Linked DNA regions of Arabidopsis thaliana. The protein of the gene in region 1 purifies or fractionates together with the protein of each later gene. This does not show direct contact. Each region holds a gene or a part of one and is shown on either strand. Other genes may lie near its edges.

What was found.
Region 2: the proteins of SDH7 (region 1) and MOD1 purify together in Arabidopsis thaliana (affinity purification with mass spectrometry, with the first as the bait; one large-scale study listed by BioGRID). This does not show direct contact.
Region 3: the proteins of SDH7 (region 1) and PHT3;1 purify together in Arabidopsis thaliana (affinity purification with mass spectrometry, with the first as the bait; one large-scale study listed by BioGRID). This does not show direct contact.

The regions. Positions count from the first base shown.
Region 1 is NC_003074.8:17,643,682-17,653,561, reverse strand, and holds SDH7 (succinate dehydrogenase subunit), read right to left. Parts: upstream 5,068-9,880; 5' UTR 4,842-5,067; coding exon 4,788-4,841; intron 4,701-4,787; coding exon 4,632-4,700; intron 4,370-4,631; coding exon 4,267-4,369; intron 3,789-4,266; coding exon 3,733-3,788; 3' UTR 3,389-3,732; downstream 1-3,388. Other genes in the region: AT3G47840 (Tetratricopeptide repeat (TPR)-like superfamily protein), read right to left, coding at 1-1,650; AT3G47836 (uncharacterized protein), read left to right, coding at 1,913-1,950, 3,057-3,213; AT3G47830 (DNA glycosylase superfamily protein), read right to left, coding at 5,216-5,449, 5,542-5,598, 5,697-5,897, 6,104-6,493; PUB39 (PLANT U-BOX 39), read right to left, coding at 7,599-9,194.
Region 2 is NC_003071.7:2,316,373-2,327,643, reverse strand, and holds MOD1 (NAD(P)-binding Rossmann-fold superfamily protein), read right to left. Parts: upstream 5,430-11,271; 5' UTR 5,262-5,429; intron 4,798-5,261; 5' UTR 4,769-4,797; coding exon 4,489-4,768; intron 4,414-4,488; coding exon 4,304-4,413; intron 4,225-4,303; coding exon 4,169-4,224; intron 4,096-4,168; coding exon 3,963-4,095; intron 3,886-3,962; coding exon 3,811-3,885; intron 3,723-3,810; coding exon 3,611-3,722; intron 3,536-3,610; coding exon 3,484-3,535; intron 3,384-3,483; coding exon 3,332-3,383; intron 3,252-3,331; coding exon 3,194-3,251; intron 3,102-3,193; coding exon 3,003-3,101; intron 2,923-3,002; coding exon 2,777-2,922; 3' UTR 2,447-2,776; downstream 1-2,446. UniProt on the Arabidopsis thaliana protein: Catalyzes the NAD-dependent reduction of a carbon-carbon double bond in an enoyl moiety that is covalently linked to an acyl carrier protein (ACP). Catalyzes the last reduction step in the de novo synthesis cycle of fatty acids.
Region 3 is NC_003076.8:4,528,984-4,539,796, forward strand, and holds PHT3;1 (phosphate transporter 3;1), read right to left. Parts: upstream 4,137-10,813; 5' UTR 3,983-4,136; coding exon 3,662-3,982; intron 3,300-3,661; coding exon 2,938-3,299; intron 2,861-2,937; coding exon 2,817-2,860; intron 2,691-2,816; coding exon 2,476-2,690; intron 2,350-2,475; coding exon 2,225-2,349; intron 2,137-2,224; coding exon 2,076-2,136; 3' UTR 1,660-2,075; downstream 1-1,659. Other genes in the region: AT5G14050 (Transducin/WD40 repeat-like superfamily protein), read left to right, coding at 4,556-6,196; CARAB-AK-LYS (Aspartate kinase family protein), read left to right, coding at 7,160-7,549, 7,643-7,725, 7,829-7,869, 7,978-8,132, 8,302-8,451, 8,625-8,720, 8,792-8,908, 8,990-9,109 and 5 more. UniProt on the Arabidopsis thaliana protein: Transport of phosphate groups from the cytosol to the mitochondrial matrix. Mediates salt stress tolerance through an ATP-dependent pathway and via modulation of the gibberellin metabolism.

The DNA.
Region 1 (9,880 bases):
ATGTTCCTTGGCTGGTCTCATATTATACGTCTCTTGCATCATGTTGAAATAGTGAAAACCAAGGTCAAGCTGTCCCGAATGAGTGCAGGCGGTGAGAACGCTGATGAAAGTTACAGAGTCGGGTCTGAAACCAACCTTTAGACTCTTCTCAAACAGATCAATAGCTTCTTTGCTCTTTCCATGTTCTGCATATCCATTGATCATAGCTGTCAGAGAAACAATATCATCTCTATCTGTTTCTCCGAATATCATTGAAGCTTCTTTGATACTTCCACATTTCGAGTACATATTAATCAGACTACTACGAACCGTGGAGTTCTGTTCTAAACCAAAACAAAGAGCAAGCGCGTGAACTTGCCTGCCTCCCTCAATAACTGCCATGTTTCCTGAAACACTCAGCAAACTAGCAAGAGCAAAATCTGTTGGTTTTGTCCCTGATTGTCTCATCCATGAGAAATACTTAAAACCTTCTTCTCCAAAACCGGCTTGACAGTACCCTCCAATAATGGTACTCCACGAAATAATGTCCCTGCATCTCATTCCTTGAAACAAAACAGAAGCAGAGACTAAATTCCCACATGTAGAATACATCTTCATCATCGAGTTACTCACTGACAAAGAATCATTTAAACCTAGAGACAAAACATTACAGTGGAGCTGCTCGCCCCACACAAGTCTAGAAAGACTCGCACACGCAGAAAACATTGATGCAAAAGTTTGTTCATTAGGAGGGACTTGAGAATTTCTCATCTTTATAAATGTCTCCACAGCTTTTACTTCTTGACCGATTCGCTTGTAAGCCACAATAAGGCTTGTCCACGAAACCACATCCCTCTCACTCATATTTTCAAACAAACAAAGTCCGTCCTGCATTTCCCCACATTCAGTGTACATTGTCGCGAGTGAGTTAGCCACGCAAAGAGTGGTAACAAAGCCTCTCACTATCACATGAGTATGAATCGCCTTACCATATTTAACTTGACGTAAACCAGCACAAGCCTTCAAGGCAATAGCAAATGTATAAGTATCAGATAGTTCTTCCGATCTCGACATTTCAGAAAAGTACGTAAGACCTTCCTTGTAACGACCAGCGTGAACCAACCCCGTAATAATCGCTGTCCATGTTACAGCATTTCTAAAAGGCATTTCGCTAAAGACTCTGCAACTCTTATCAATCTTTCCAACTCTCTTATACATATCCAGTAAAGAACTTCCCACATATACAGAGCTGAGAAGCGAAGTTTTCACCGCATAAGCATGCAAAGATTCTCCATATGCAATATTGGAGCTTTGACCACAAGCCTTGAGTACAACACTTAGCACAGAGGTATCAGGTGAGACGGCATGATCAACAACACGCATTGCGGAGAACAAAATCAGTGCTTCGTCAGAGTTGTTTGCAGTTACGTATCTTTTAATGATGGATGTCCATGAAACAATATCTCCGTGGGGCATTTTATCGAACACTTGGCGAGCAGCTCGCAAATTCCCTGCATTGATGAGACTCCTAAGGTGAGAGTTGGGATCAAATTTGACCATCACCTGATTCGAGATACGGACAATGTTCTCCTCAACCGGTTTCTGGAGCAATGAAATCGAAGTTGTACAAAACCGTTGGATTGTGCCGCAATTTCTCACACTCGAAATCATGTTTTTGTTCAAATTCGAAACCAATCGTTACCTTTACCAATTGTACCGAATTAACTAGAAACATAATAAACCGAATGTTAACCAAACCAGTCGGTACACATTTGCATCGAACCATAATAAATATCCGGTGTGGTGTTTGTTTGTTGAAAAAGGAGGAGAAGAGAAATGGGGATAGTGACTAGAGCCGGAGATTGGTCGTTCAAGGCTTTCACGGCGGGGCTAGGGCTCGCCACCATCTACCTCACCGCTACTTTCTCCTTTAATGTCTATCGTGGTCTCTCTTGGCACAACGCTCAATCTGTATGTTTCTTCTCTCCCTTCACTTGTCAATTTGGGGGATCCACGTTTCCTCTACATTATTATTTTCGTTTCTTGTTAGATGATTGAGGTTCTTCGGCTGTATGAAAATGATCACTTGTAGAAAGTTTCTTTGATTTCATTGGGATTGCTGTTGACCTGAGGGCCAAATTTAGGGTTTATGAAAGTTTCTATATTGTTGCTAGTTCTTATCTGATAAACAAATTTTTGTGCAGTAACTGTTAGGATTTGGAAAATTTTAATCATATACTACATGCTTTGGTTCTCTGGAAATGGTGATATCTCTGGCATCGTTAGAGATTACTGGTTTAGATACTTAGTCTACGCAATGGATCAGCTGTGTTAGTAATGTCTTTATCTTTCTAGCAGCAAGATCTTGTCCCAGTTTGGATATTAAATATGTGTTCTAAGTCCATAATATATCTTAAACTGATAGAGAAGGCCTTTTATGTGCGAAGTTGTGAGGAACTTGATAAGAACATATTTAAAACAACCCATTGAGACTTCATTAGTGAGAGAGACTCTCAACCATAACCCGGGAAAATCCACACACTAACCAATCTGCTTATAAGTTTAGTTCTCACTCACCGACCATGATATCTTCAATCTTAGGCTCGGTACACAGTAGACCTATACCTAAGAGTGAAGCCTCTGAACATTACTCCAGCCAATCAACATCCTCTTCTCCCCTGTGTCTTGGATTCAGAGCTATTGTTTGCATTAGGTTGCTAAAATTGTTTCCTTGGCTAATATTCATTCACCTTTTTTAGTTTCATGGAGAAAGTGAATTTACAGTATCAAAATGAAAATGCAATGGTTGTTTATGGTTTTCTCAAGATTTTACAACTGTTTATGAGAAATTTAATGTTCCTGTCAAATTTTAAGAGAACTCAACTGGTAGATGCCATGTGGTAATAATCCATGGTTTGCTTTAATTTGTTTTTGTATCCCTTGACCTTTCTTTTACTCTTGGTGTATAGTTTTACTTACAAATCTTACATTGTGTTATGCCCTTCTGGACTACAAATCTTACCCCTGTTAATGTCTTATCCAAAGCTAAATCCATTTTATGTTTCTTTTCCTTGCAGAAGCTGGAGATTGAGGAATCTGAAGAACAACCCGAATGATCCGAATTCAGTTGCTATCTATCCCTCAAGCAGCAGATGCTTCCTTGAATCTTTGTGTGTGTTGTTTCTTTCATACAACTGCTATATCTTTGTTTCGATTCTAGGAGCAATTAAATAAATGAAATTTTTTGGTTGATACCTTCACTAAATTTGTAATGTGATTCTAAAAGTTCCGTAATAGCAAAAGAACAAACTTTTCTTACAATAGTTACACTAAACTACTGACAAATTGTTAAGGTAATATAGAATCTGTGAATCCGGAAACTGGCTTGATGACAATAGAACATGAACCCGGAGGAATAAGAATTGTATGAACGCAAAATGGATAGCAAAAGAAAACTTATCATTTTCGATATCGAATACTATGAAGTATCAGAAGCAACGATAAAGTTAAACTCTACAATACATTACAAGAGAAGAGCACAGAGAATGCTTTAGTGAATTTGGATTTCAATAATCAATGAGCTCGTGATTCCATGTAAAGCGATTTGGATTTCTGGAAGACAAATACAAGGTTTCGCCATAGGACAATTACAAAATCCTTTTCGTTTCTTCACTTATTCAAAAGCCAAACATGAGTAACAAGATGAATATCTGAGATTGCTAAAAAGGGAGATAAAGAAACTCATGAGCTTCCTCATGCAGCCTGAGCTTCCTTTCTCATCACTCTCGCATAGATCTCATAGCAGCATCCTGAAACAAGCACACATCAGAAGGCAATCCAACTCAAGACACACAAAACTATGTCATCAACACCTAACTATATGAGCTACACACACTATTCTACTAAGTGCTGATTATATCTAAACAGAGGATGCAATAACATTAATTCAATGGAGATACCATTGGCGAGATACCACCATCTAAACCATCCCAGCTACTACATTATCTACTATCCAATTTACTTCCACTGTTTATATGAAAACATGATCAGATAATATGGTAAAGCACAAGAACATCTTCAGAAAACTAAGGATACATTTTCATCTGCAGCTTTTCTTGATCGATAACAGAAAAATCTGTTATAAGATGAATCGCAACAAAAAACATCCTAAAGTGAATCTCTAAACACTTTTATCAGTGACTACCAAGTTCAGATTCATCCTATATGGTACAAGATGAATCACAACAAAAAAGAAACTGATCATGTAAAGAAAATAACTTCACATACCAGCGACAACGACAACTGTGAGCACATCTCCAATTCTTTTCAATCTATGAACACCTTTCTTATGCGACTTGAATCTCCTCAAAGATGCATCCTCAGCCAAGAGCTGCAACAAAGACAACCATTGAAAAACATGAATCTCAGAGAAACTATCAAAAAATCAAATCTTCTAGGAGCCATATCCCTCTTTGCCTCAGCTAATTTCGATTCGGTATTGCTCTTTCAGAACAATTACACTACCTACAATTACTATTTGACATACAAAGATCCTTCCAAAACAAATTTTCTCCTTTTCTAAACAATCTAATCTGACCGAATCGATCCCTGATCCCTACCCTATAACAGATATAAATGTAAGAGATACTTACAGCTTTCTCACGAGCACCTAGCTCCACATGGAACCCGCGACGGGATTGAGCTAAAGCACCATCCGTCTTCTGCATAAAGATCAAACGATTTTGTCATAAATATAAGAATCGAACTATATCCGTTAAAAGAGATTCGATTCGATCCAAGAACAAAACCTGGGAAGAAGATCGGAGGTGAGATGAAATCGAGGTGTTGAGTAAAAACGCCATTTCCGATGAGGAGCCAAAATTGAAGCAGTGAGATGATAGCAAATTAGCCACTAACTATCGAATATCATCAATGGAGACGAAATCGAAAAGGTCTTTTTCTGCAAATTTCTCAATAATGAACTTATTAAATTGTAATTTTCGTTTTCTGTTTTTGACCCATACCTTAAGAATAATTTCATTTTGACCCCGAAGTTATATAGTATACATTTGTAGACCTCTTCTGTTGTGATGTTATGAATCTGGTATTGGATGCAAAACTAATGAGCTCGAGTATGTCGTATAGAACAGACGCGATTGTGTCATTTTAATAATCTGTTTTATAATTTATCAGATTAAGAGCAACAAGTCAACAAAAGAGTTCTAATTCTGATAATCTAAACTATTAAATCATAAAAACCAACAAGAGGGCAATCATCAGGAGATGCCACTTTAGCTTTTGGTTTAGCAACATTCTTCTTGCAATTGCTGCAGATCTTACCATGTGTATATAACAGACAGTTCAGATCAAACTTGAGCTCATCAGGGATCTTGCGGTTGAGATGAACATACGTTTTGTTCCTGTCTGCGGTTTTCGGAACCCAACCTAACGCCTTTGCGATCTCAAACACCTGTTTCAGTCGGGGTTTGTATCTCATTAGTGATCTGCTTGACTCAATGAAAAACAAACACCAAAAGCCAAGAATAAACAAGAAACACTCACATGAGTGTCTACTGGGAAATCATTGTGCTGGAGATTGAACATCAGAACACAAGAAACCTGCCAATGATCGTTACATCGTTACCAAGAGTTAGGTGTCTAAAGGACTATGAATAAGAAGCTTAAGATAGTTTCTATCGAGTGAGCGAGGCTATTACCGTTTTAGGTCCTACTCCTTTAAAATGAGAGAGCTCGGTTTTTACTTCTTCGACCGATAAACCTCGCAGATACTCCAAGCACAATCTACCTCTTTCGTTCTGCAAACGGTTCAATATGTTCTTGATACACACCGCCTTTTTCGGTGCCAATCCTCCACATCTTATAGCATTCTCAATTGATTTAGACTCAGCATTCAAAACCTACATTGGCAATATACATTTTCTCAAAACGTTTAACCAAAATCTTAAAGAGTTTTAAGCTCAGAGTTTCCCAATTTTGTCCAAGAACATGCTTTAATTGAACTATTTCTATGCATTGATGATTGATCCATAACTAAATCTTAACCTAAACTCATAACTATAATTAACATCACAATACTTAAACCTTCACAATACATAGCACTTACGTCATCCCATTTCGGAAATGTAGCTTTAAGAGAAGCAAAAGCCCTTTGGGAATTGCTCTCAGTTGTATTCTGCGAGAGAAGAATCTTAACAAGCCCATCAAGTACACTCTCCTCTTCCGTTTCATTCAATGTCTCAGATTTCAGATTACACTGTGTATCGTGATCATCGACGGCGGAGAATGATCGGAGTCTTTGACGGCGGTAATTAGCGAATTCGGGAGGGAATCCATGGAGAGACAACAAAGCATCCCTTACGTCTCGGCATTCTTCAGCGGTAGGTCTAAGTAGTGTAGGGTAAGGATTGCCGCCGTCGACGGTTGATTTATTGGCCGGAGTTTTTGATTCGCCGTCGTATTTGTTTAGGCGTTTCCGTTTTTGGGCTTTACTCATCTCGTAGGAAAACGACTGACCGGTGCAATATTCAGATCGGTTTACTCTTCTTGTTTTGAAGTGATTTATTTCTTACCCACAAAATTTAGTGAAATCTGGGCCGGTTGACTAAATTCTCGGTATAAATTAGATCCGGTTCCTTTTTTTTTTGTTTTGGGTTTTGGGTGCAAAATTTTATTTTTTTATTCAATCCAGGGGCCGGTTCAATAAAATTAAAGTCCCTGAGTTCAGGAGAAGCAACAACGGCAATACTAAACCAATACAACGGTTATGCCTCAATGATAATGTCATCTAGCATAATAAAAATAAAAAAGAAAGAAAATGTCACCTAGCATTTTTATTTCTGGCATGTTAAGGCATCAAGCAAAAGATCAAAAATTGTTTCATATCCATGGAGAGATGTATGGGCCTCTCAGTCCATAACTCCTGAAAAGTTAACCTAAAAACAAATTGTTTCTTACCATGCAACAAGAGTTTAATTTCTAATTAATAGTGGAATGTTGTCACTTGTACGGTTGTACCAGACACTGTCTAACACTAGTGTAATTCGCTCGTGGTTAATTCTCTAGCAGAAAGAAGATTCAACACGTCCAGCTATTCTCGTAACATATAAATAGGGTCCATAGAGTATGTGTGGCTATGTACCCATGACGTGTTTGCATGACGAATGGCAAATTGGCGATTGGATTACATGACTTCAGGCAAAATAATTGTAGAATATTCCAACTTGGTACACTTTGAAACGTTGACCTTAGAATTATTTGACCAACGACTAAATCTTCGTTCCAAATCTTATATTACGTACTTTAATCAAAAGATCTGAAGACGGTACACCAAACAGAGTAACTCTCCACGAGACGACTTTTGTTTGTCTAACGTTTTCACAAATTAAACAAGAGCAACTCTTTACAAACGAAATAATCAACATTTTACTGTTTGTCGTTTCATTAGAAATGACAAATTAAAGAAGATTAAAATCAGATATTACAAATTCACTCCCAAAATATTAGTCACAAAAAAGAGTGAAAAAAAAACAAATATTTGAGAAAAAAATTTACCAACAAGAAAAGAGATAAGAAAATGAAAATAAAAAAATTGAATAGAGCTAAAACTGAGAGGAATAAGCAAAACCCCCTTTTTGCCCTCCTTGTTGAAACTGAGAACGACTTAGCCCACTCGCTTCCAACATACGGTTCCACTCACGCGCCTCCGCTCCTTCACCGAATTCACTCCCTCCGCCTCTCAATGTCTGTAGAATCTTTGAAGCTTTCTCCTTCAACCGCCCGCTTCCGCTCTCGCTCTCCACAATTTCCGTCAAAATCTCCTCCGCACCCGCCTCACTCGCCAATCCTCTAAACCTCATATTCCCTACACTCAACGTCAACAAAGCCCCGACGCAATTCTCACGCGCCGCCGCGTCTGACTCAGCTCCTCCACTTTCTCGCAATTTCCCAACCAGTATCGACACCGCATTCCCGTCAAGCATCGCACCTTTTCCTTCCGAACAAGCCGCCAGATTACACAGTAATAAAAGAATCCTGCTCGCCGATTCACCGGATCTGATCATAGACAGCATCATCGGCACTGCACCGGCTTTAACCAGCCTACTTCGGTTATTCGGAATCAACGACAAATGATAAAGCGCAAGCGCCGCGTCTTGACGAGCTCTCTCACTCTCCGATGAACGAAGCGCGTGAAGAAGCGGCTCCACCGCACCAAGAACTCCGATCACCATCTTGTTCTCTTCTTCAACCGCTAAACTAAACAAAGCTCCGATTACATGCTCTTGCGCCTCCGTTGATCCCGATTTCAAAACATCAATCAACAAAGGAACGAATCCTGACCGTACGATTTTCAATTTGTTAGGTTTCTCTAACGAGAGATTAACAATCGACGCGGCGGCGTTTGTTTGCACGATGTTGTACCGTGAAACGATCAGAGATCGGAGTAATGAGAGAATCCGATCAGTACAAAGAGAGATTCTCGTGGTCTCGTTTGATCTCGTCGTCTTCCTTAGCTGAATCAGACCTTGCTCGTGATCGATTGTGTCAACACTTGTCAATTTGTTGTAGATCTCTTCTTCTTCCGGTGACATCGGAGGAAAAGATGAATAATCCGATGTAGAGAATGAGCTTTGGATCCGGGTCGAGTGATTAATGGGTCGGGTTTGGTGAAGTGGAAGAGAAGTAGTTGACGATAATGAAGTCCTTGAACGAGATCGAATCGCTCCCATCACGGAATCGTAATCTGAATTTGAATTTGAATTCTCAGCCACCGGTGGTAAGATTTCGGATTTAGCGATCCGATGACCCGAACCCGGAGGAAGTGAATCCATTCGGGTACGAACAACACCTTCGACGTAAGCGTAATCAGGAGGACGAGGATGTTCCATTTTGTTCCGATCGCACCAGCTTAAAATTGTTGATTTCATGGCGAGATTTGGGATTACGGTGGATAAATCTGGTTGAGTTCCGTCGTGAAGCTTTGGAGCAAAACTGAGATTCCGGCAAACTTGGACGGAGATACGTTCAAATGTTTGACCAGAAGCGACGACGACGGGGTCTGACATCAAAAAGCCGGTGATGGGACAGAGGAACTCTGTTGGAGTTTCGCCGGGGCTGTTGTGTTGTGGCATAGTTGTGGCGGAGGCTGAACGGTGGTGGTGGAAGGAGAACCATTTGTGTCTACCGGTGTCGCCCATTTGGAGAGACAGAGAGCTTGAAGAAGAGAACGAACAACAAAGCGAAGAAGAATCTGAGAAGTTGTTGTGGTTGTAAGAGATTTTTATTGACTTCAACTTTTGAGGTTTTGTAATGGAAGGTCTTTGTTTGATCGAGTCTAAAAGATTCTCTCTGGTTTGATAACTGATACTAACTACCAAACTATTTATTTAACTACTTACTCTTTAACATAGTTAGTAAATTTAATAATTATTATGATAATCATTGGATATGTTGTCAAATAGAAATGATCATAGGATATTCGAATATTTTATATCTACGAGATGAAAAGATATTAATGATTTTCTAAAAAGAAATTTCATCAACTGATAGCAATATTTAAAATTTATGTACGAATATGATTTTAAGAAGAAAAATAAAAAAGAAGTACAGAGAGAAATAGAATGAAGACAACAGAGATATAATTGCATAGAAAGAAAGAATAGTGTTTGACAAAACAAAACTAAAGAAGTGTTTGGTAGTTTTGTATCATCATGCATGTACAAAATGATGAGGGTAAAACAACAATATAAGATCATTTATCAAAACAATTTTTAAGCTTATTTTAAAGATTATTATACTTTCATTGTTTTAATATTTATGGATATAATCATAACTCGTTATTGAAAAAGGGCTTTTTGTGTGTGTGGTGAAATTTCATAATCTT
Region 2 (11,271 bases), on another chromosome or scaffold:
TGAAACCAAAATAGCTCATCTGCAAGAACAGGGATATTCAGTTGCTTAAAAGCTTAGAAAAAAATATGTAGAAATAGATTATAGGTCTTAAGTTCATTGCCTAAGGATAAGAAGAACTGGTTAATCCGAGTGTTTTTTTGAGGGAACCAGATTGGTTTCATGAGTCTTGTAAATCCGTCTGTGAGTCTTCTGTTTGAGCTTTTGGCAAGGCTGGACATATAGTGTTTCTTCTTATGGTGGCAATTCATTTCCATGTTGAATACTAGTCGACATCAACCTTTCGATCAAAATCCTTTAAGATGGAGGAAAAAAATGTCGCTAAAATCCTCAATTTGCCAATCACTTTCAAATTCTTCTCCCACCAAAAATAACTTTGAAGTTTAGTTTTAACCCCAAAATGTTAACGTATAAGATATTAAGCCGCGGTACACCGCGAATGGATATATTCATTGAAAAATTATACATATTTTTTATAAGAATTATTATTTATATACGAATAATATATCCTTGACACATAATTTCTATATTTGTAAAATTTGAGTAATTCATGTTTTATGTTCTATATTTGTTGTATATTAGTTTATTATTAAAATTAATATTATTTTGTTTGTGATTTGGGTTTTTTTAGAGTTAATAAAGATTTAAAACTTGTATTATCTATAGATTGACCCGCGGTGTACCGCGTTGATATTTTTGTTAGAAAGTTAGAAATTTTTTATTTTAATTAATATTATTTATATAAATAATATATTTAAGAGGTAGATCTTTTTTTGTCATCTAGATTTTATTAAAAACCATGAAGGATATTTGGAAGATTACAACCATATGCTAGCAGAAAACAAAGATATCTCTGGAGTCTAAAGCCCTATGTAAGGGAAGCAAAGAAACAATACTACAAGGCTACAAACCGATACAAACATATAATGAAAGCAGAAGAACCCCACTACAAGAACAGACCAAAACAAAACACTCGACCAAATGGGACCATAAACCAACCCAACAAGGAAAGCATACTTCAAGAGATCCTTTGATAGTACATATCGAAGATGCCCGTGGCCAACCATCGATAATCTAATCCTCCTCTAAAGATGCCAAACTGCCTAAAAGTAACAGAACTCCTATGCTAATCTTCATAATCCGCAAAGACAGAACCACACATGGAACCTCACACTTTCTTCCGGATACGGTGACGTCGGAGACAAGGCGACATTTTACACCTAGATAGAAGCAAAACCATAGGACCAGATCTCGATCAGATCTGAAATGCAGAGACAAGGAGCAAAAAATCCACACCGGGTAACACCATTCTCGAAGAATCAGGAGCAGCAGAAGATCGAACCAGAGTGAACCAAAGAAATCTCCCAAGAATACAAAAGAACTTGTAGGCCAGATAATCACCACAACGAGCATTCGTTCATTCATCAAAAAGCATAAAATGGGAATCCCATCTTCTATCCAAAACAGCCAGAGACAAAACGAAACTTAAACAACTAAAACCGGAAAGACATTGCCTTTTCAACATCCCAGACCGTCGAAGAAGAAGAGAAGCTAAACGATACTATCTCTGAAACTGTTACAGCCAACTCAAGAACCCAACAAAAGCGATTCCGTCTAACCCTAACAAAAAGGCTATGAAGAAAGGTTGGAAAGTCTGCTTACCGGACTAGCAAAACAGAGTGAGACAAACAACCACGGATCCGCTACAAGCAACAGGAAACATAATGAGACCAGAGCCTTCGCCGACACTTTATAAGACAGAGCATCCAATAGATCCACAGATCTCGGAGTCCCAAGCAAACAACTCTCATTGGAGAAGCTGACTGCCGACCACGCTGCAAGCCTCGCCGAGAAAATTAATATTATTTTGTTTGTGGTTTGGATTTTTTTAAGAGTTAATAAAGATTTAAAACTTGTATTATTTATAGATTGACCCGCGGTGTACCGCGTTGATATTTTTGTTAGAAAGTTAGAAATTTTTTATTTTAATTAATATTATTTATATAAATAATATATTTAAGAGATAGATCATACGCCTATATTTTTATTAAATAAAAAATTGAATTTTTGCTTTTAAGATGAAATATAGATACATGCTATTTTTTTTTTTTTTTATGTATAATACTATGATACTGGTGACCAGAGGGGAAGTAATATAATAGTCATTTTTATCTCCTTTCTGGAATTCAAGAGCTTCTTATTTCTCGTTGATTCATCATGTTTTGTATTCTTCATTGTTGATGTCATGGTTCTAATTAGTAAATTATCAACCATACAGAGCTCTAAACTTATTAGTAATATTTGAGATTACATATGTAAAAAACTCAAGATGATAGCTAACGTTTTCCTCCCAAATTTAGCATATTGAGCTTCTAAGTTTATGCCAGTTTCAATTACTAAAGCCAAATTTAGATGATATGTGCAGAATTAACTGCTATTGTTTGTGAGGTTTATGTACAACTTTCAAAAGTTAGCAAATAGAGGCTGTTAGGTTTCATTAGTCTTGTAAATTGGTTTGAGATTTGAGACTGGAGGAGACAACTTACAAGAAACATGATAGTTTTTCTCACTTGCAAATTTTCAATCATAAGAGGAATAATAATCCATCACTACATATATAGTTGCTAAATGACCCAACCTAGAACCATAATTTATTCTCTTAAAGAAAGAAAAAAAAAGACAGCCGATGGGGAACATATGCCGTACATACTAACTCATAAAGAAACAAGCAAGCTCACGAAAACACGGAATTTCTCGAGTCCAGTCGTCGATCAAGACTCTAATTCTTGCTGTTAAGGTCTTTGAACACCGGGCTGTCCAGTGCAACGCCCATTGCATTCAAACCATTGTCCACATATATGGTTGCACCGGTTATGGCAGAGGCCAATGGAGATGCCAAGAAGGCTGCTGCATTCCCAACTTCATCTACATCATCGCCATTTATAAAGCGTAAGATTCCAAGAAAAAACAAGCACAAGAGAGGTGATGGTTTGAAGGAAATGAACCTGCGGTCAGTGTTTTCTGAATAGGCCCATTATTGTAGGAATACTCAATCATGGTGTCTATGAACCCAATGGCTTTTGCTGCTCGGCTTCCCAAAGGACCTGAAACCCAAACAGTAGTACTCTTTTATAATTTCAAAAGACGAGGCGTGTTATTTGTACCACGAGGCGTGTAAGAGGGAAAGATGGATTACCCGCAGAGATGGTGTTGACCCTAATGTTTGATTTCCTTCCAGCTTCATATGCAAGCACCTATGTTGAAAACACAGTTTGGACTAAGAGACTTCTAACCGATACATCTTTGAGTTTACGAAACAGAATTGTAAACTCACCCGTGTGTCACTCTCTAGTGCAGCTTTGGCAGAACTCATACCTCCACCATACCTGCACAGAATGAAAGAGATACTTGTGAGAATGTGTTGACATCGTTATGTGTGTGCATTAGTTTGTTCCTTTGAATAACTTGTGAAGAAGCCATCCTTACCCAGGAATGATTCTTTCAGAGGCAATGTAAGTAAGAGATATTGAAGCACCTCCTAAATCATCATAGAGAACCAAATAAGAAAACATATTTACAAGGAATAAAGAGACATACGAAATTTGTTACATGCCTGGGTTCATAATTGGCAGAAAATGCCTCAGCAAGGAAACAAAGGAGTAACTCGAAGCAGAGATAGCAGCGAGATAGCCTTTCCTTGATGTCTCCAGAAGAGGTTTGCTAACCTAAACCCACATGTGAACACCATTAGGAAATAGTTTGTATACAACACAATGCACTTACTGTAACCAATAATCGATACGAGTTCTCTACCTCTGGGCCATTTGCAAGGGAATGGACAAGAATGTCAATGCTTCCAAAATCTTTTTTCACACATTCAGCAGCTTCCTGATTTAAGCAACAAAAAGCATTAAGGAGTAACACATGTTAACTTGCAGGCGTGTTTGTGTATCTCTAATCTATACCTGTACGGTCCAGTTTGACGATCCTGCATATCGCTTATTCGTTTTCACATCTTCAGGCACATCTTCAGGATTGTCAAACACAGCATCCAAAGCATAAACCTTCTTAATCTCCATCAATGACCCGTCAGGCAACCTGAATATACATGGATGGAAAAATTAATGTCCCATTACATAAAACCAGACAAGATCATGTTGTAAGTCCTTACACTCGTGACTGGTCGAATTTTCCACGTCTCAAGCTTGTCTCAAATATATTAAGTGCCTAGTAGACCATCCATTCATAGGTTAGTATAATTTAGCAATGAAGGAAACTAAAAGCAGCTGAACCAAAAATGACTTACAGGAACCCAAGTCCCAACCAATATTTCAGCTCCAGCAGCAGCAAGAGATTTTGCTATGGCCCAACCATAGCCATTATCATCAGCTATACCAGCAATGAAAGCTCTTTTCCCTGTACCATTTACACTTGCTTAGTTCAGATAGCACCAAGTCTTCTCTGAATTCAAAGAAAGATATGCCAACCAACCTCTCAAATCAATTGGAAGCCCTGAAGGAGCCTTGTTTTCACTGGATTCAGACATTGCCCTTGTGGAAAAAGAAAAGGGTCTCTTACAAGTTGGAACAGCACTGTGGTTTCTCAAACATCCAAGGTTTGATAATTGGCGAGTGCATGAAAGTTTATCCCATGAAGCGTTTCCAGGATTGGCACCAACAATGTAGGTTCCTGCTTTAAGAATTTTGCTAGGCGAAGACATGCTCGGCCTTCGTGTAGCAATTTGTAAGCTTGAAGCTGCTGTAGCCGCCATTCTCACAACCTTTCTAATTTTTTCTTCTACTAAAACAACAAATCCAGAAACATTGTAAGAAAGACCACATATGAAACAAAATTTAAGAATCAGATCAAACCTAAAGCACAAGTTGACATAAGTTCACTACTTGAAACATTATAACAAGAACCCTAGTTTCCAAAATTTCAAGCACTGCATTAGAGAAATCTCAATCTGCATTTTTCTAATGATTTGGATTAGAGTTAACAAACAAAGTTCAGATTTTTCACATACGTGAGTATAGTTAACAAATTAAAGAAGCAGATCAATGCAGAGAACACGAAACCTAAACGAGAGATAATACAAGTTTCGAATTTTTTGGAGCCCAACAACATCAGAGAAAAACTCAATCAACAGAGATATAAAAACTTCCACAGAAAACCAAAACACATCTGCATTTAACATTCAGAAACTCATCAAACAAACAGAGACGCAAATGGAGAACAAGAGAGAGACAGAGAGAGAAAAAAACCTGTGAGAGCGTGAGAGATAGAGAGCGAGAGAGAGAGACAGAAGTAGGTTTGGTTGATGTGAAGTGATGATATGTAAGAGAGAGGAGCTTCGATGAGATCGAGGTGTTGTTTCTGTGAAGTTTTTAAGTGATATCAGAAGTTTTCGTCTCAATTACAAAACCGATCGGTTCTGTTATAAAAACCGGAATCCTGGTTAACTTTAAACCGTTTCTGAATTTTCGACTTTTTCTCTTCTCACTTTTCCGTTTTTTCCGACAACTTTATTAGATTAACTCAAATAATAAATCAATGCTAAAAAGTATTGTTTACAAAGATAATCATATGTGGTTATATCCGAACATTCCGTATCTAGTGGTCTGTTTTAACATTTACATTTCGAAGCATTAGAGATAAATCAAAAAAATCAAACTCATCACTATCTTCCTGAATCGTCTTTAAGTATGTAGCGAATGTTGGCCATTTTGTTGGAAAATACATCATCTTCATCAGATCTACAGTTTATAAAAAGCGTTACTTTTCGCTTTTCTTGGCCAATCATACATTTCATTGCCCAGACGAGTGCTTCCAGCACACATGGTTGGATGTCCTTCATTTGGTAAAATACAGAACCATCCCATGCCCAAAAACTTGTCACTATCTTTCCAAGAGTCATCAATGAAACAATGATATCCTGAAAGATTTATATTAACCGACTTAACTGCCACTGAGGCTTGAATTTCATTTGCAACCTCCAATCAGGCTAACGTCCAAGCATTGTCTTTGTTTTTCGCTAGTTTGAGAATATCCCTTGGATCTCGATCCATATTTTCGTGAAGTTTTTCATTTTGTGCTTTCCATATGTATCACATAATCCAAGAAAAGCTAAAAATAAAATAATATAAATGTGTTCTCCAAAATAAATGATCTATGTTTACATAGACCGATGAAGATTGGAAAATTCCTGGGACCGTTGGTATTTGTGATAATGTGCAAGTTTAGAGTGCTGGTGGGCATTCAAAAATAGTATTGATTAATTGTTTTCTCTATGACTATCTACAATGACTTATTGAAAATATTAATTCAATAGTTAAATGCTTAAAACTATGTACAATGCAAAAACATATTCAGCACCTCCACCTCAATTTTGAACATTTCACATCATTTCCTCTTTCTTCCTTACTTTAATTTTTTATCACTCCAATGTTTTTTATTAATAAAATTCAACACCCAACCCCACTATTTCTTTTATTCTTATTTTCTTATATCTTATATTTCGTGATGCATAATAATAGTTGTTAAACAAATTAAGTTAAAATATCTATTAAAACTAAATTAAATTAATTAAAAATGACATTATGGTAGAATAATATATAGAATTTATGGCAGAAGAATAAGAAAATTATGGTAGAAATGACATTTTTTTATGTGTCCAAATAAATTGAACCAAGCCTCCATTTATAGAGTTTAAACTAGATTTTAACCCGCGGTACACCGCGGGGACAATTTATTTTTTAAAGATAGTATATATATAAAAATTTGTAAATTGTATCTATCTATAAAATATTTTTATTTTATAGTTTACAACTGTTATTAAGTAACGTCCTGCCAAACCCGTCCCGCAAAACCCATCCTGCAAAAAAAACATTTATTTTATTAATGTTGATCTTATTTATGAATCATTGTCTAAATATTTTAGTCGATGCGGGATGTTGAACCCACACATTTTTCGCTAATTGGTTAATATATGTTCATTTTTAAAATTTTGAATCACAAAATATGACGGATTTTTTTTTGAGATTTTTTAAACTATATATTATATAATGATGTTAAATTTTTTGATATATTAAACTTTTTGTTTAAATATTAATAATGTTTTATAAAGTTTAAATATATAAATAATAATATTTAAAAATATATATATTTTTTGCCTTTTAGGTAATGACATAATAACTCTAAAAGCAAAGATTTAGAAGATTTAAATCGTTAATTAAATATTTTAATTTCTAAATAATTAATGCCAATAGCATGACATTGTAAATAAGTTCAAATACAGGGTTTATTTATTTAGACAAAAAAACGTTTAGTAAGAATAATATTTATTTAAACAAAAAACTTTGTTTTAAAATATTGCTAACAAATACGTTTATGCTAATTTTAAGGGATTAATGTGAAGTTTGTTTGGATTAAATTTGATTGATAATGTAATTGACAATTTAAATTAAGAATTTAAAGTAAAATTAATTATTTTGGAAAAAAAATTAATGCTAATGGCATTGGGTTGTAAATAAGTCCAGTTATAGGATTTATTTGTTAAAATGGCTGCAAAAATGTATATATAGAAGTCATAAATTTTTATATAAGTATATATTTTTAAAAAAAAACTTTTGTATGTAATAATTGATTGTAAAAAGATAAGATGAAATAAAAATCTCCAAGAAAATATAGCAAGTGTCAGCATCTCAATAACAAGTGGCACTCTTCGAAAAAAAATGAAAAAAAAGTTTTGTACAGTACACCCTTCGTTTCTGAGTTTGAAGCACACCTCCCACTCACTTACTAACAAGTGGCACATGTGGGTCCAAAATTTATAAACATGTTGAATTCACGTAAGTTTTTTTAATTATTCAACAGGTGCAATGTGGAGATTCAACAGTTGAATAAATAATTCAACACGTGCACTGTAGATAGTATTATAGAAGAATTAACAGGCACACAACCAGTAATAACATGCCAAATAAAATGTCTCAATTTTAGCGGGCATTGGACTTTCCAAGAGTGGGCTTGGAGAGGCCGTAAAATTTGGGCCAAAATAACAAACTTGGTTTTCACCTATCGTCATTTGCTCCGTATAATATCCTGATTCGATCGTATATTTTTCAGACTTCGTGAAGTGCCAATCCAAAAAATCAGGTTTGTTATTTTTTCTTATGGGTAGTGCAAATACAAAAGGGATATCCTTGGGATCAAGAATATTCTGAATTAAATCTATATTTCAAGTGTTTGTCTGATCATCAATCAAATTCTTGACAAGAAGATATGCTAATGAATATAACCATTGTTTATAGCTGGCCTCGGGGATTAAGCTGGTATCCAGGGATCATTCCATACTGAATTTGATCATCCAGAGCTTATTCGTTTAATAAGCCCTTTGTTAACCAGAGGTTGAGCAGATCCATTGGATCTGGTTTTTGATAATAGCTCCCTTCAAAAACCTTTGCAAATAAGGAATCATGAACCTTAATAAACCGCCATATTTATTTCGCTAATAACCCAGTATTATATCATCCACATCCTGAAAACCAATCCCACTATTAGATTTTCTCTCGCATAACTTCTTCCATGCCATCCATTGCATTTCTTTTGTTTCTCCAGTTGAGCTCAACCAAAGTTTTGCTACTACATTCGTAAGTTTTGACGTTACCAACTTTGGTAATCTAAAATAATACATTACATAAGTAGGCAACGCAGCAGCTACCGATTTAATCATTACTTCTTTACCCCCTCTAGATAAGAATTTTGCCGAACGATTAATTCTTTCTTGTTAGCGCTCTCTCACAAAAGAAGATATCTTAGTTTTGGAGCCTCCTAGGCTTTTCAGTAATCCTAAATAAGAGCCCATGCCCCCTAAATTAGTGATCTCTAGAGTTCTCATAAGTTCGTCTTTCAGTGAATCTTCTTTCTTGTGTCCGAATTGAACCGATGATTTTGTAAAATTTATTCGTTGGCCAAAACCTCTTCATACCTTTTTAATATTCCTAAAACGACAGCGCACTGCTCTTTTTTGTCATTCTGTAAAAGAAAAAGCTATCATCCGAGAATAATTAGTGAGAGATCTAGAGACTTGCTTGTGTTACTTTCATTCCTGTAAAAGTTTTTTTTCTTTTTGCTTTCCGAATATTGGCAACAAAAACTTCTGTACATTATAAATAAATAAGGTGATAACGATCTCTTTGCCTTAAGCCTCTTTCAGAGACTATCAAACTTTCGAGGCTGTCCATTAGTTAGAATCTTATATCGAACCGATGTGACACTTTACATTATCCAAAAAAAACTATTTATCGCAAAAACCAATTTTCTTTAGTAAATGTTCAATAAAAAGCCACTCTATTCGACCATAAGCTTTACTCATGTCTAAAACTATGCCATTGTGGGTTACAGTAAAAAATGTTCCCCATTCCATGTTCTCCTGGAATGGTTTAAGCTTTCTTACCAGTCCAGTGGGAAATCCAATTAGACTTCATCCTGAAACAGAGTTATGCACTAAGTTTGATGAAGCAAAAGTATTTGTTGAAGTTAATCTTTCGCAAGAGGTTCCAAAGTGTTTCAGGTTCAGTATAGAGGATGAAGAAGATGTTAATGTGGAGTTCGTTTATCCTTGGTTGCCTCCTAAATGCTCTTGTTGTAATAAATGGGGTCATCTCGTGGATGTTTGTGTGAGTAAGCCGAAGTCTCCATTGAAGGAGAGAGTCATGGAATTAGAAGAAGGTGAAGTTCTAGCGGTTGTGTCTGACAATGTGATAGTTAGCAAAGTGAATACAAATGTTGAGATACAGAACTCAACTTTGCAACTTTCTGAGGTCGTTGAAAATCAGGAGGTCTCCGACAAGGTGATACCACAAGTCACTCAGTCAGACGGAGATGGTTGGTCCTTAGTCTCTCCAGGGAAAGGAAGTAAAAGTTCTGAAAAATCAAATGGAAAACCTTTAGAGTTCGGCCAAGTAACGCTTTTATCCTCTTCTCGATACTCTGTTTTGAGTGATCATGAGGAGAATGGGGACAAAGAAGAGACAGAGCGTGGGGAACAGGTGGAAGTTTTGGATTCCAACGTGGGGGCTCTGAAGAACTCGGCACCGGAGACGGAGAAAACAGGGGCGCTGAGAGTCAATCTCCCTCGTTCCTCGAAGAGCTCCCATAAAGTACTGTCGGAGACTTTTACTCAAAAAGCAAGAGACAATGTCTCAAGCAATTCGAGCAGAAGAAACTCCAAAAAACTTCATTAAATGATTGGTTTTTTCTGGAATGTGCGCGGATTCAACAAAACAATTAAACATTCTGTAATTCATGATTGGGTCAGACAGGATTCTTTAACTTTTGGGGGTTTAATAGAAACGAGAGTGGATGAAAACAGAGCCAGTCGTATCATATCTAAGGTCTTTCGAGACTGGTCCTCTATGACAAACTATGAACATCATCGTTTAGGAAGAATTTGGGTGGTTTGGAAGAATACGGTTCGAGTTACTCCGGTTTACAAAAGTGGACAATTGATTACTTGCTCTGTTTTGACGGAAGAAAATGCAGAGGATTTTTTTGTCTCTTTTATTTATGCATCGAATTATGTGGATGAACGGAGAGAACTTTGGGAAGATTTGAGGAATCATTACGATTTGCCAATGTTTCGTAATAAAGGTTGGATGATACTGGGTGATTTTAATGAAATTTTGGATGGGGAGGATCATTCAAATTTTGTGAATTCACCATTCATTCCACAGGGCATGCGAGACTTTCAAGACGTCGTAAGATATTGTTCCCTAGCTGATATGAGTTATCACGGGCCAGTGTTTACGTGGTGCAATAAAAGAGAGGAGGGTTTAGTCAATAAAAAATTGGATAGGGTTCTAGTAAATGAAGTATGGACTCGCAAATTTCCTGCGGTTTATAGTATTTTTGAAGCAGGAGGGATTTCGGATCATCTGCGGTGTCGAATAAAGTTTGCTAGTGGAAATACACAACCAAAAGGTCCCTTCAAGTTTAACAATGTTCTTACTACATTGCCTGAATTTCTGCAAATTGTGAAAGATTTTTGGGATGGTACACTTGCACTTTTTCATCCTACCTCTGCAATGTTTCGTTTTTCCAAAAAGCTAAAGGGTCTCAAGCCTATTTTAAAGTCACTTGGTCGAAGTACACTCCATAATCTGTCTGTAAGAGTGGCTGAAGCTTACACATCCTTATGTGAGAAGTAGCAAAAAACTCTGGAAACAGCTTCCTCTCAAGCAATTGCAGAAGAAACTCAAGCTCATACTCATTGGA
Region 3 (10,813 bases), on another chromosome or scaffold:
CATATAGAAGAATGTGTACTAAGTAGCTTATAAACTTCTTTAACGCCTTTATATGGAACATTTCTTAGATAGCTTTTAAGGTGTTTTGTTTTTTGCTTCAGAAACCTGTATAAATTAAAAAAATGAGGAATAATTTTGTTTATAAGATGCTTCGAAAACCTGGATACTACTATTACTTATAAGATGCTTTTAACAAAATTTGTAGGTATCATATGTATTAACCTACTAGGCATTTGAAAGCCGGTCCTATAGCTCTTTCGCTTTATGAATACTTAGAAACAATTTTGCACAGACAAAAAGAATTATTGAAAATACTACATGAAAAAAAAAAAAGAGAAACGATGGTTTGGGTCTTAACTTTTTCAAGTTAAACAAATTTGACTTTGTTTTTAGACCAAGTAGTCAAATAAGTTGTGATAAGTTTATTTTTCCGGGTTGGAATAGTGCAGCTTTTGCCATGTTTATCAAGAGTTCAAGACGGGATTATACAACAATCAGACTAGAGTTAAAAGAGATAATCAATAAAGCACGCACAACTTTCACACTATGTTAATTTAGGGCATGACTGGTTTAAACGCAGTGGGTGCGGTTGCGGTTGCGTTATCAAGCGTTTTGAACGACTGGTTGAGCGTTTGATAATGGATGCGTTTGCGAAAATTTTATGACTGGTAAACCAGCGGGTACGATAGTAATTAAATAAAAATAACCAAAATAAATATAATATATTACTATTAAAAGAAATAAAAATACAATATATTATGATAAACTGATAATATTAGAAAAATTGATTTTTTGACCAAACAAAAATACAATATATCATCTCGTCCGGCCAAATGATTTTCTAATCGAGAAAACAAATCGAAAAATGTATTCAATCAAAAAACTCAAAACAATACAAAATAAAATAAAAACAACGATGCCATGAAATAGTAAAAGAATTACACTAGCTAATGAATGAATAAAAGGATAGATGATACTTATGTTTGATTCTTGATTTTGATTTTCATCGGATGCCATAATTGAGAGAATAGAGTTACAATATATTGATTAGGGTTTTCTAATAAAAATAAGATATATAAAAGATTAGATTATTTTAATTATAGTGATTAGGGTTTGGGTGGAAGCCACAATTATTTTAATTAATTAAAAAAAGATTATTCTTTTTAACCTAACCGCTACCGCCCGCAACCGCAAACGCTTGCGGAAAGGAGCTTTTGAAAACTGGCGATTTCGAGCGGTTTAAAGCGATATCTAGCGGTTTTTATGATTGGTGTCAATCGCTAACAACCGCTACCAACCGCAAACGCAGCGTTTGCGGGTGGTAGAGGGAGAACCAATCAAGTCCTTAGTCCCTCAATCGTCGTCGCTCAAAATTACTGGTTTGACAACAGATGGTTGGTTGTTAGAGCCTTTAGACGAATGGAATCCAATTGCAAGGGTACATCTGTTAATTGGGATCAAACTGTTAAGTAACTTAGTTGGGCAACAAAGCCCGTCTAGCTCAGTTGGTAGAGCGCAAGGCTCTTAACCTTGTGGTCGTGGGTTCGAGCCCCACGGTGGGCGACGTTGTTTTTTTTATCATATGTTTATTAATCATTTGCCTACATAATATTTTCCTTATGTTAGCGCTTAGCGGTTAAACGTATACATATGATTAGTATTCAAGATCTATCTATGATTTGATGTTTTAAAACGAGATTTTATATAATCTCTAAAACAAAAAAGTAAAATAATAGATAGAGCAACCAAAAGAGAATTTCAACTGAAACTGAATAAAAAGTAGTGAGTGGGTGTATGCCCACTCTCTCTATCTTGGAGTGTGTCCCTCTCATCTTTTAAGATTACATCACACAAAGAAAAAAAGGACAAGAAACAATAGGAAGAGAGTATGTAAAGAGAGAGAGAGCACTATCCTGAATTCAGGAACACAAATTTCAAAAAAAACAAAAATGATAAAGTTCAAATCAGGAAGAAATTGAGCTTACTCACTCTTCCTCATCACCGTATGGTTTCTCTTATTTTTCCAAACAAAAATCCTACCCCATCGAACTCCTAATAACCTTTTTCGTCATTGTTTAGGCTTTGGCTTCAGTAGCTGCGATGGCAGGAGCTGGAGCAACACCACCAGTGGTTGGCCTGAATACCAAATCAAAAGAATTGAGAGTTTTGCATTTTGAAGGTACAATTAAGGTACGAAAGTAAGTGAAGAGAGAGAGGAACTTACAGGCCAACAAACACTTTGAAGGCATCGTATAATCCCCACTGTGCTCCAGTCAACGTCCCGATCATCACAATTCTAAGAGGAAGCCCTCTTGTGAACAGTCCCACCATACCAATCTTCTTCACCGCCTGCAACATGTCATTTACAAACATTAAATATTATTTCTACCGTAACAGAAATCAATAGCTTGTATACAACTACCAAACCACAGCCATTCTAGCATTAGGCTATTGTATTCAAACATAGTGACTTACATCTCCAACGGTTGCTCCCTTAGCGTTGTTGAGGAATGACACTAGATTGTCTGCTGGATGAGAAACGATGGCACAGAACACTCCGGCAACGTAACCTCCGGCAAAACTCACTCCGAGTTGCAGACCTTTGCTGCACTCACTCTTTGGGTTGGGGATTGCGTACTTGTAAATCATCTCAACAATGGTCTCAAAGGAAGCAAACTTCATCATAGTGTCTGTAAAATTCATAGATATCATCACCACCTTTTGCTTTTAAAGAACTACATATGTTTCATCAATAAACAAAAAAAAAAAAAAAAAAAGATTGTGCAACAGGTTGCAAAATAGAGGCCAGAACTTACAAGGAATCTGACGTCCCCAGAGTGGAGCAAGACCCTTATACAAGCTGCAAAAAAATCAGAAATCAGACCAAAAGGCTAGCAGTAACAAGGGAGATAATGTTATTGGTATTGAAAAACTCACCCTCCGTATCCTTCGGACTTGATAAACTTGGGAAATCCATCAGACATCCCCCTAGCAAATCCAGGCTGTGTCTGAACACGAACCTTCACAGCTTCAAATGGGCAAAGTGCAATATCGGCAATGATCTCAGCAGAAGCAGAACCAGCAAGGTAGATGAGAGTCTTGTATTTGGCAGTGTACTCAGGTCCAGCAAGGTCAGAGTAAGTCTTCTTAAAGTACTCGTAGAATCCAAACTTGCAGGCACCCTGAGCACTGTAACCCAAAAGAGTAGGAACCCATCCACGGAAAAAGCCTTTGACTCCTTGCTCTTTCAGCAAAATTCCAAAACCAGACGAGATGCTCTTGTACTTCGCTGGATCAATCTGGATAACAAGATATATCAGTTTTGCAAGACCAAGTGAACCATTCAACACATAACACGTCAAGTAACAATATTTCGAAAGAAGAACCAGAAATCAGACCATATTAACGTATATTGAAATAGAATGATTCATATATAACATGGAAATGGATAGACGAAGATGCGTTTATCAGAGATCAAACAATTCTTCAGATATTGAAATCAAACACAAAACCAATAGTCAGGAAAACAACAAAGCGATAAAGAAAATCAAATCACAGATCTAGCAACACAGATCTCACTACCTAAACAACACAGGAACACAGATCCACAAACATGAGCTCAGAAAACAAACGAAAGACAACGGATCTAAAGGTTACATACCTGCATATTGCACTTGACGAGATCGAGAGGAGTCACGGTCATGTGAGTAAGACCACAGCTGAGAATTCCACCAAAGGTACAAGCAGCGTAGAAGGCAGGTGAATACATCTCGATCCCCTTCCCTGGCTCGGTGGGAGATGCAATAAGGAAATTCTTCCGAGAAATCATCGACGTAGGAGAGGAACGCGGGGCCGGAGAAGGAGATTTCTCGAATGCAGCGTTGGAGTTGGAATTGAGCACCTGGTCGAGGAGGAAAGATCTCGGAGATGAAGATGATGAATAGAGGAAGCTCGGGATCAGAGAATTCTTCGGAGATTCCATGGCGGCGGCGGAGGAAGGAGATGGAGATAGCGTTTGAAATGAGAGACGGAGGCGATGTTTGATTCCCGATCTCACTCACGCTTTGCCAAAACCAAAAGCACCAATGAGGTATTAACTCTCGAAACTCGGGCTTTATTGGGCAAATGGAATCTGATGGAACAAGGCATATACTTTGCGATAATTACGAAAGTGACATTGTTATTTTACCTGTCTTGGCCCATGGGCTTTTTCAAGAGACATAAGACCCGTTGACCCATTAAAGGGCTGTATTAACGACAAGTTCCAATTTTTATTTGTTTATCTTTTGTTGGAAAATGAAATTCTAAAACCCTAAAAAATCCAACCAGAAGGGTAGAAGCTCTCTCGCCGACAATTACCGGCTACAAGGTTTCTCTGCTCGTCAACGTTGTAAGTTATTTCTTCATTGTAATCAAATTTGTGCATGAATTAGGTCAAATTAGTAGCTTTTGTAGTAATTCTTCCCGAAATGAGAGCTTAATTACGGATTGATAACGAGCTTGCGAATCTTATCGTTGTTTGTTTCATGCAGCTCTGAATTAGTGGTATTGAAAGATGAGCTTATCTCAGAATGCTCCGAAAAGTAAGGGTATTAAAAGAGAGGAGCTCAAGAAACAGTACGAAGATGTTGAAGATGAGGAAGAGATTGGGTCCGATGATGATCTCACTAGGGGAAAGAGAAGAAAGACAGAGAAGGAGAAGCAGAAGCTAGAAGAATCGGAACTGGTTGAAATGAAAAAGCTTGAGAATTTGATATTCGGGTCACTCTACTCTCCTGTTACGTTTGGTAAGGAAGAAGAAGAAGATGGTTCGGCTTTGTTTCATGTAGACCGTTCTGCTGTGAGGCAGATTCCTGACTACGAGGATGATGGTGATGATGATGAAGAGCTTTCTGATGAAGAGAATGGTCAAGTTGTGGCAATTAGAAAGGGAGAAGCTGCCTGGGAGGATGAAGAAGAGAAACAGATAAACGTTGATATAGCTAGTGTCAACCGTCTAAGGAAGCTAAGGAAAGAGGAGAATGAGGGTTTGATCTCTGGGTCTGAGTACATTGCAAGGCTGAGGGCTCATCATGCTAAGCTAAACCCGGGGACTGATTGGGCTCGGCCAGATTCTCAAATAGTTGATGGAGAGTCTTCAGATGATGATGATACTCAGGATGGAGGAGTTGATGATATCCTTCGAACGAATGAAGATCTTGTGGTGAAGTCTCGTGGTAACAAGCTGTGTGCTGGTCGTCTTGAATACTCTAAGCTTGTGGATGCCAATGCAGCGGATCCTTCAAATGGTCCAATAAACTCTGTCCACTTCCATCAGAACGCTCAGCTGCTTCTCACTGCTGGATTGGATCGACGGTTAAGGTTTTTCCAGATTGATGGAAAGAGGAACACCAAGATCCAGAGCATTTTTCTTGAGGACTGTCCCATTCGTAAAGCGGCTTTCTTGCCCAATGGCTCTCAGGTCATTGTCTCCGGAAGAAGAAAGTTCTTTTACAGCTTTGATTTGGAGAAGGCAAAGTTTGACAAAATTGGCCCTTTGGTTGGTAGAGAGGAGAAAAGCTTGGAATATTTCGAGGTGTCACAAGACTCTAACACCATAGCTTTTGTTGGCAACGAAGGTTATATCTTACTTGTGTCTACAAAAACAAAAGAGCTGATAGGAACCCTAAAGATGAATGGTTCAGTTAGGTCTTTAGCATTTAGTGAAGATGGGAAGCATTTGCTGAGCTCAGGAGGTGACGGGCAAGTCTATGTCTGGGATCTGAGAACAATGAAATGCTTATACAAAGGCGTGGATGAAGGCAGCACTTGTGGCACTTCTCTTTGCAGTTCGCTTAACGGAGCATTGTTTGCTTCTGGAACCGACAGAGGAATCGTAAACATTTACAAGAAATCTGAGTTTGTGGGAGGCAAAAGAAAGCCGATAAAGACAGTGGACAATCTCACATCCAAGATAGATTTCATGAAGTTCAACCATGATGCTCAGATTCTAGCTATAGTCTCTACAATGAACAAAAACAGTGTAAAGCTAGTCCATGTTCCATCCCTAACCGTCTTCTCAAACTGGCCGCCACCAAACAGCACAATGCATTACCCTCGCTGCCTAGACTTCAGCCCCGGAAGTGGCTTCATGGCTATGGGGAACGCTGCCGGAAAAGTTTTGCTGTATAAACTCCATCATTACCAGAATGCTTGAAGTGGTCTTTAACAAGGGCAGTTTTGGGATTGTTGTGTTTCCTCTTTTTTTGTCGCAAGTACTCTTTATGTTATCAATTTTCCTATCCAATTATCGATCAATGAAAAATTTTCTTTCTGATTCTTGGGATTGAGTGGGCCAAGTTTTGTTTTCTCACGATTTTGACAGCATCAACCACTTATTTGGTACTATCATCTAAAAATAAAAATGCAGGAGAAAAAGAAAGATGTCAACATTATTTCATGGATTAACACAAAGTACAAATTTTAGTAGAGTGGCTTACTAATAGCTGAAAGGGTATCTCGACCCAGAGATTGAATCTGAACCGTCCATTCTGGGAAGGGCAAACAAAACAGTGTTTGTGTCTCACGTTCTCTTCCTTCTCTAATAGAGTCTTAAGCCGCTTTTTCACTCCTTAAACCCAAAAAAAAACATTAGTACTATTTCCTTCGGAGCCTGGCCGGCGAATCCGACAGGTCGTTTCAGCTGTGTCCGAAGGAAAGTTCCAATTTTTATCTGTTTTTCTTCACGGAAATCCAGTTAAGGTAATTGTCTACATTTCTCGATTTACTTTGGTTTCTCTGGGTTTTGCTGTTTTCTTTTCTAATTTCTCGAATGATTCATCATTTCTTGCATTTGGGGTGATGAAGAAGCACAAGTTTACACATTTTCTGGTTTATATGCTTCACAAGTGCTTCTCTTATGATGTTGTTTATTAGTATTGGTTGTTTGATTTCACTGAAAATTAGTCAGTCAACTTACAGTGTATTAATTGGTTCAATAAATTTTTCATAATTCATTTCTTAACATGATTTTACCTCATTCATTATATTTATAGATTTAGATCCCTTGATAATGATCTGATATTCTTTCTGTGAATTTGAAAGTTGCAGGTTTCCACATTGCACAGCTGTACCATTTGTCGAGATCACAACACGCAAGTCTCTTAGATTTAGCAAGCTTATGGCTTCATTGCAGTTGTACGGAGTTAAAACTCCAGGGCTTGCTTTAAGTTCAAAGAGGCTTGAGTTTGCTTCAAAGGGGGCATGTTTTTCAGTTACGTTGCCCTCAAGTAGTGCTGTCTTTAGAGACGTAGAGCATTCTTGTAGGAATATAGGTTTGAGAGTTAGTTGTGAAGCTCTAAGAGTCGATTTGCTTCAAAGAAAAGAGCCTGAGACGTGCGATTCAAGCGGAACTGGCAAAGAGTTGACATGTGTAATGAAATTTGGCGGTTCATCAGTGGAATCAGCAGAGAGGATGAAAGAAGTTGCCAATCTTATACTCAGCTTTCCAGATGAGAGGCCCGTCATTGTGCTATCAGCAATGGGAAAGACGACTAATAAGCTTTTGAAGGTAATACAACTATACTAATCTTTTCTACGTCTTCCTTATGACGTTTTTGTTATCGGTAGAGTGATTATTTTCTTGGTTTTCCGCTTTTGTTAGGCTGGAGAGAAGGCTGTTACTTGCGGTGTCACTAACGTAGAAAGTATTGAAGAATTGAGCTTTATAAAGGAACTCCATTTAAGGTTAAAGAAAACAATGTTATCTCATGTGTATTTGATTGTTATCTAGTGTTCACAGTCCAAATTTAGCCTTATTCTCATGGGAAATAAAATTCTCTATGTTCAGAACTGCTCATGAGCTTGGAGTGGAAACAACGGTTATTGAAAGTAAGTACCTTGGTTCTCGTTCTCCTATTGTAGTTTCAGAATTTTGCTTTGCTCATTCAGTTGAGTTTTTCTTATCTGAATCCGTTTTTCTGGTTAATTTATTTGTAGAACACCTAGAAGGACTACACCAGCTTCTCAAAGGCATATCAATGATGAAAGAGCTAACCTTACGCACAAGGGACTACTTGGTTTCATTTGGAGAGTGCATGTCCACAAGGCTTTTCTCTGCGTATCTCAATAAAATTGGCCACAAAGCGCGTCAAGTATGTTGCTTTATAACACTCTGGTCCTAGCATAACCTTGGCCCTGCATATAATTGCTGCATTCATCATACAGATTACAGAAACTTGAGAGTGTGTCAATGCTCACAAGTATGTACTCTAACATGAGTTTAGTTCATTACTTGATGAGTTGTTTGCTTGTTGTTGGCAGTATGATGCATTTGAGATCGGATTTATCACCACAGACGACTTTACTAATGCTGATATACTTGAAGCAACATACCCTGCCGTCTCAAAAACACTTGTTGGCGACTGGAGCAAGGAAAATGCAGTCCCTGTTGTTACTGGCTACCTCGGAAAGGTTTATATTTTTCTGACTTTTTATGTTGTTCTCGTGGATCAAGAAATATGTGGTGCTCAACTCGGGTTCTCATCTATTCTATAAATTGGAATGGGTTCTGCACAAGAGTTGTTTTGCTTATTGTATCAATTTTGAAAACAAAACTTCATTCTCGTATGCATGTGTTTCTGCAGGGATGGAGGTCTTGTGCTATCACTACGCTGGGTAGGGGTGGCAGTGATTTGACAGCTACAACGATTGGGAAAGCGCTAGGACTGCGGGAAATTCAGGTATTTGATGGCTTTGGCCAAGATTGCATCATGTAGATGAAATTTTGTTAAACAATGATTTTTTAATATAGGTTTGGAAAGATGTGGATGGAGTTTTGACTTGTGATCCTAACATATATCCTGGAGCTCAATCTGTTCCGTACTTAACGTTCGATGAGGCAGCTGAGCTTGCTTACTTTGGTGCCCAGGTAATCTCGTAGATTAGCTATGCACTATGCTGATGAGTTCTTTTCTGTCAGATGGCTGAGCATATTCCTCTTCCATTGCAGGTGTTGCATCCACTGTCTATGAGGCCAGCAAGAGATGGCGACATTCCTGTGAGGGTTAAGAACTCGTACAACCCCACTGCTCCAGGAACTGTCATCACCAGATCAAGAGACATGAGTAAGGTTCGTGAAACAGATGTGTTTTTTTAACTCCTTATATCAAAATATCAATGACCTTTTCCTCCTTTAATTCCTTGTAGGCTGTGCTAACCAGCATTGTTCTGAAACGTAATGTGACCATGTTGGACATAGCAAGCACCCGTATGCTTGGCCAATATGGTTTCCTTGCCAAGGTAATATAATTGGATAATGATATCTTTATTCGACTTTGTTTAATATCTCACTGGAAGCATACTCACTGTCTCGTGTGCAGGTGTTTACCACATTTGAAGATTTAGGTATATCGGTTGATGTTGTGGCAACAAGTGAAGTTAGTATATCATTGACATTGGATCCAGCAAAGCTCTGGGGTAGAGAGTTAATTCAGCGAGTAAATGTAATACTCCTTTGACTTTGATAGATTGTTTCTTTTGTGAGGGTCATATGTGGTATTGGTTAAAGGGACTGGGTGTGAACAGGAACTGGATAATTTGGTGGAAGAGCTAGAGAAGATTGCTGTTGTGAAACTACTTCAACGCAGATCAATCATCTCTCTCATAGGAAATGTTCAGAAATCCTCACTCATATTAGAGAAGGTGAGTGAGAGTAACATGTCTTGTGTTCTCTTTTGAATTTTGAAGTTTTAATTTAGTGGGAATGGAATGAATGACAAAACAGGTGTTCCAAGTATTTAGAAGCAATGGAGTGAATGTGCAGATGATCTCGCAGGGTGCATCTAAGGTTAGATGGAATCCGCTGCTACATGATAGTGAATGAATATGGTTTACTTATGGTTATAGTGAATGGGGATATGTGTGTGTGTGTGTGTGTGTTTCAGGTAAACATCTCATTGATAGTGAATGATGAAGAGGCAGAGCAATGTGTGAGGGCTCTCCACTCCGCCTTCTTTGAGACCGATCCTTAGTGCAACACAGAGCACCCATCTCTCTCCTTCAACTCTGCTTCTGTGCGTAGTTTAATGCTAAGAATGTGTCAAGACTTGGAACTATTTCAAATTCTTGTCCATTGTTGTTGTTGTTGTTGTTGTTGTTGTGATACAATACATCATAATTTGAGCCAAAGCCTATAATCTTTTAATTTAAAGAGTACATAGACAAGCTCAAAAAGAAATAAAGAAATAACCAGTGTGTTGAGTAGGGATTCAGATTTAAAGCTTAGTTTTTAGGATTTAAGATTTGGTTTTATGACATAAGGTTTACAATTATTAGTCAATGGTAATTATACTATTTTGTTCACAAGAATTAAGATATAAATTAGTTTCTTCATTTTGACATCAGTATATTTTCATAATTTCTTCTTGTCAACAAAAGAAGAAAAAAGAAAAAGAAAAACAAATTCAGTATAGAAGAGAAAGTGAGCATTGAAGGAGCAGGCTTAGGCCAACTCCAATGGGACTCTAAAACACCATTTTAGTGTAATTTTTGCACTAAAAGCTCTCCAATGGAACTCTAAAATTCACACCATTTTAGTGTAATGCTACAGTGTTACATCAAATTTGGTGTGATACTATTCACAACTCTAAACACTATTCACTTATTATATCAATAAAAATTCAATTAACAAATATAAAATTACAAATGATTAATAGATATAAAATATAAAAATGAATGGATACATTAATATATTATATCTCTTGAAATAGTTTATTTAGTTATGATATTTTTATATTATTATGTATGAAAATACTCAAAATAGTTACAATTTTAT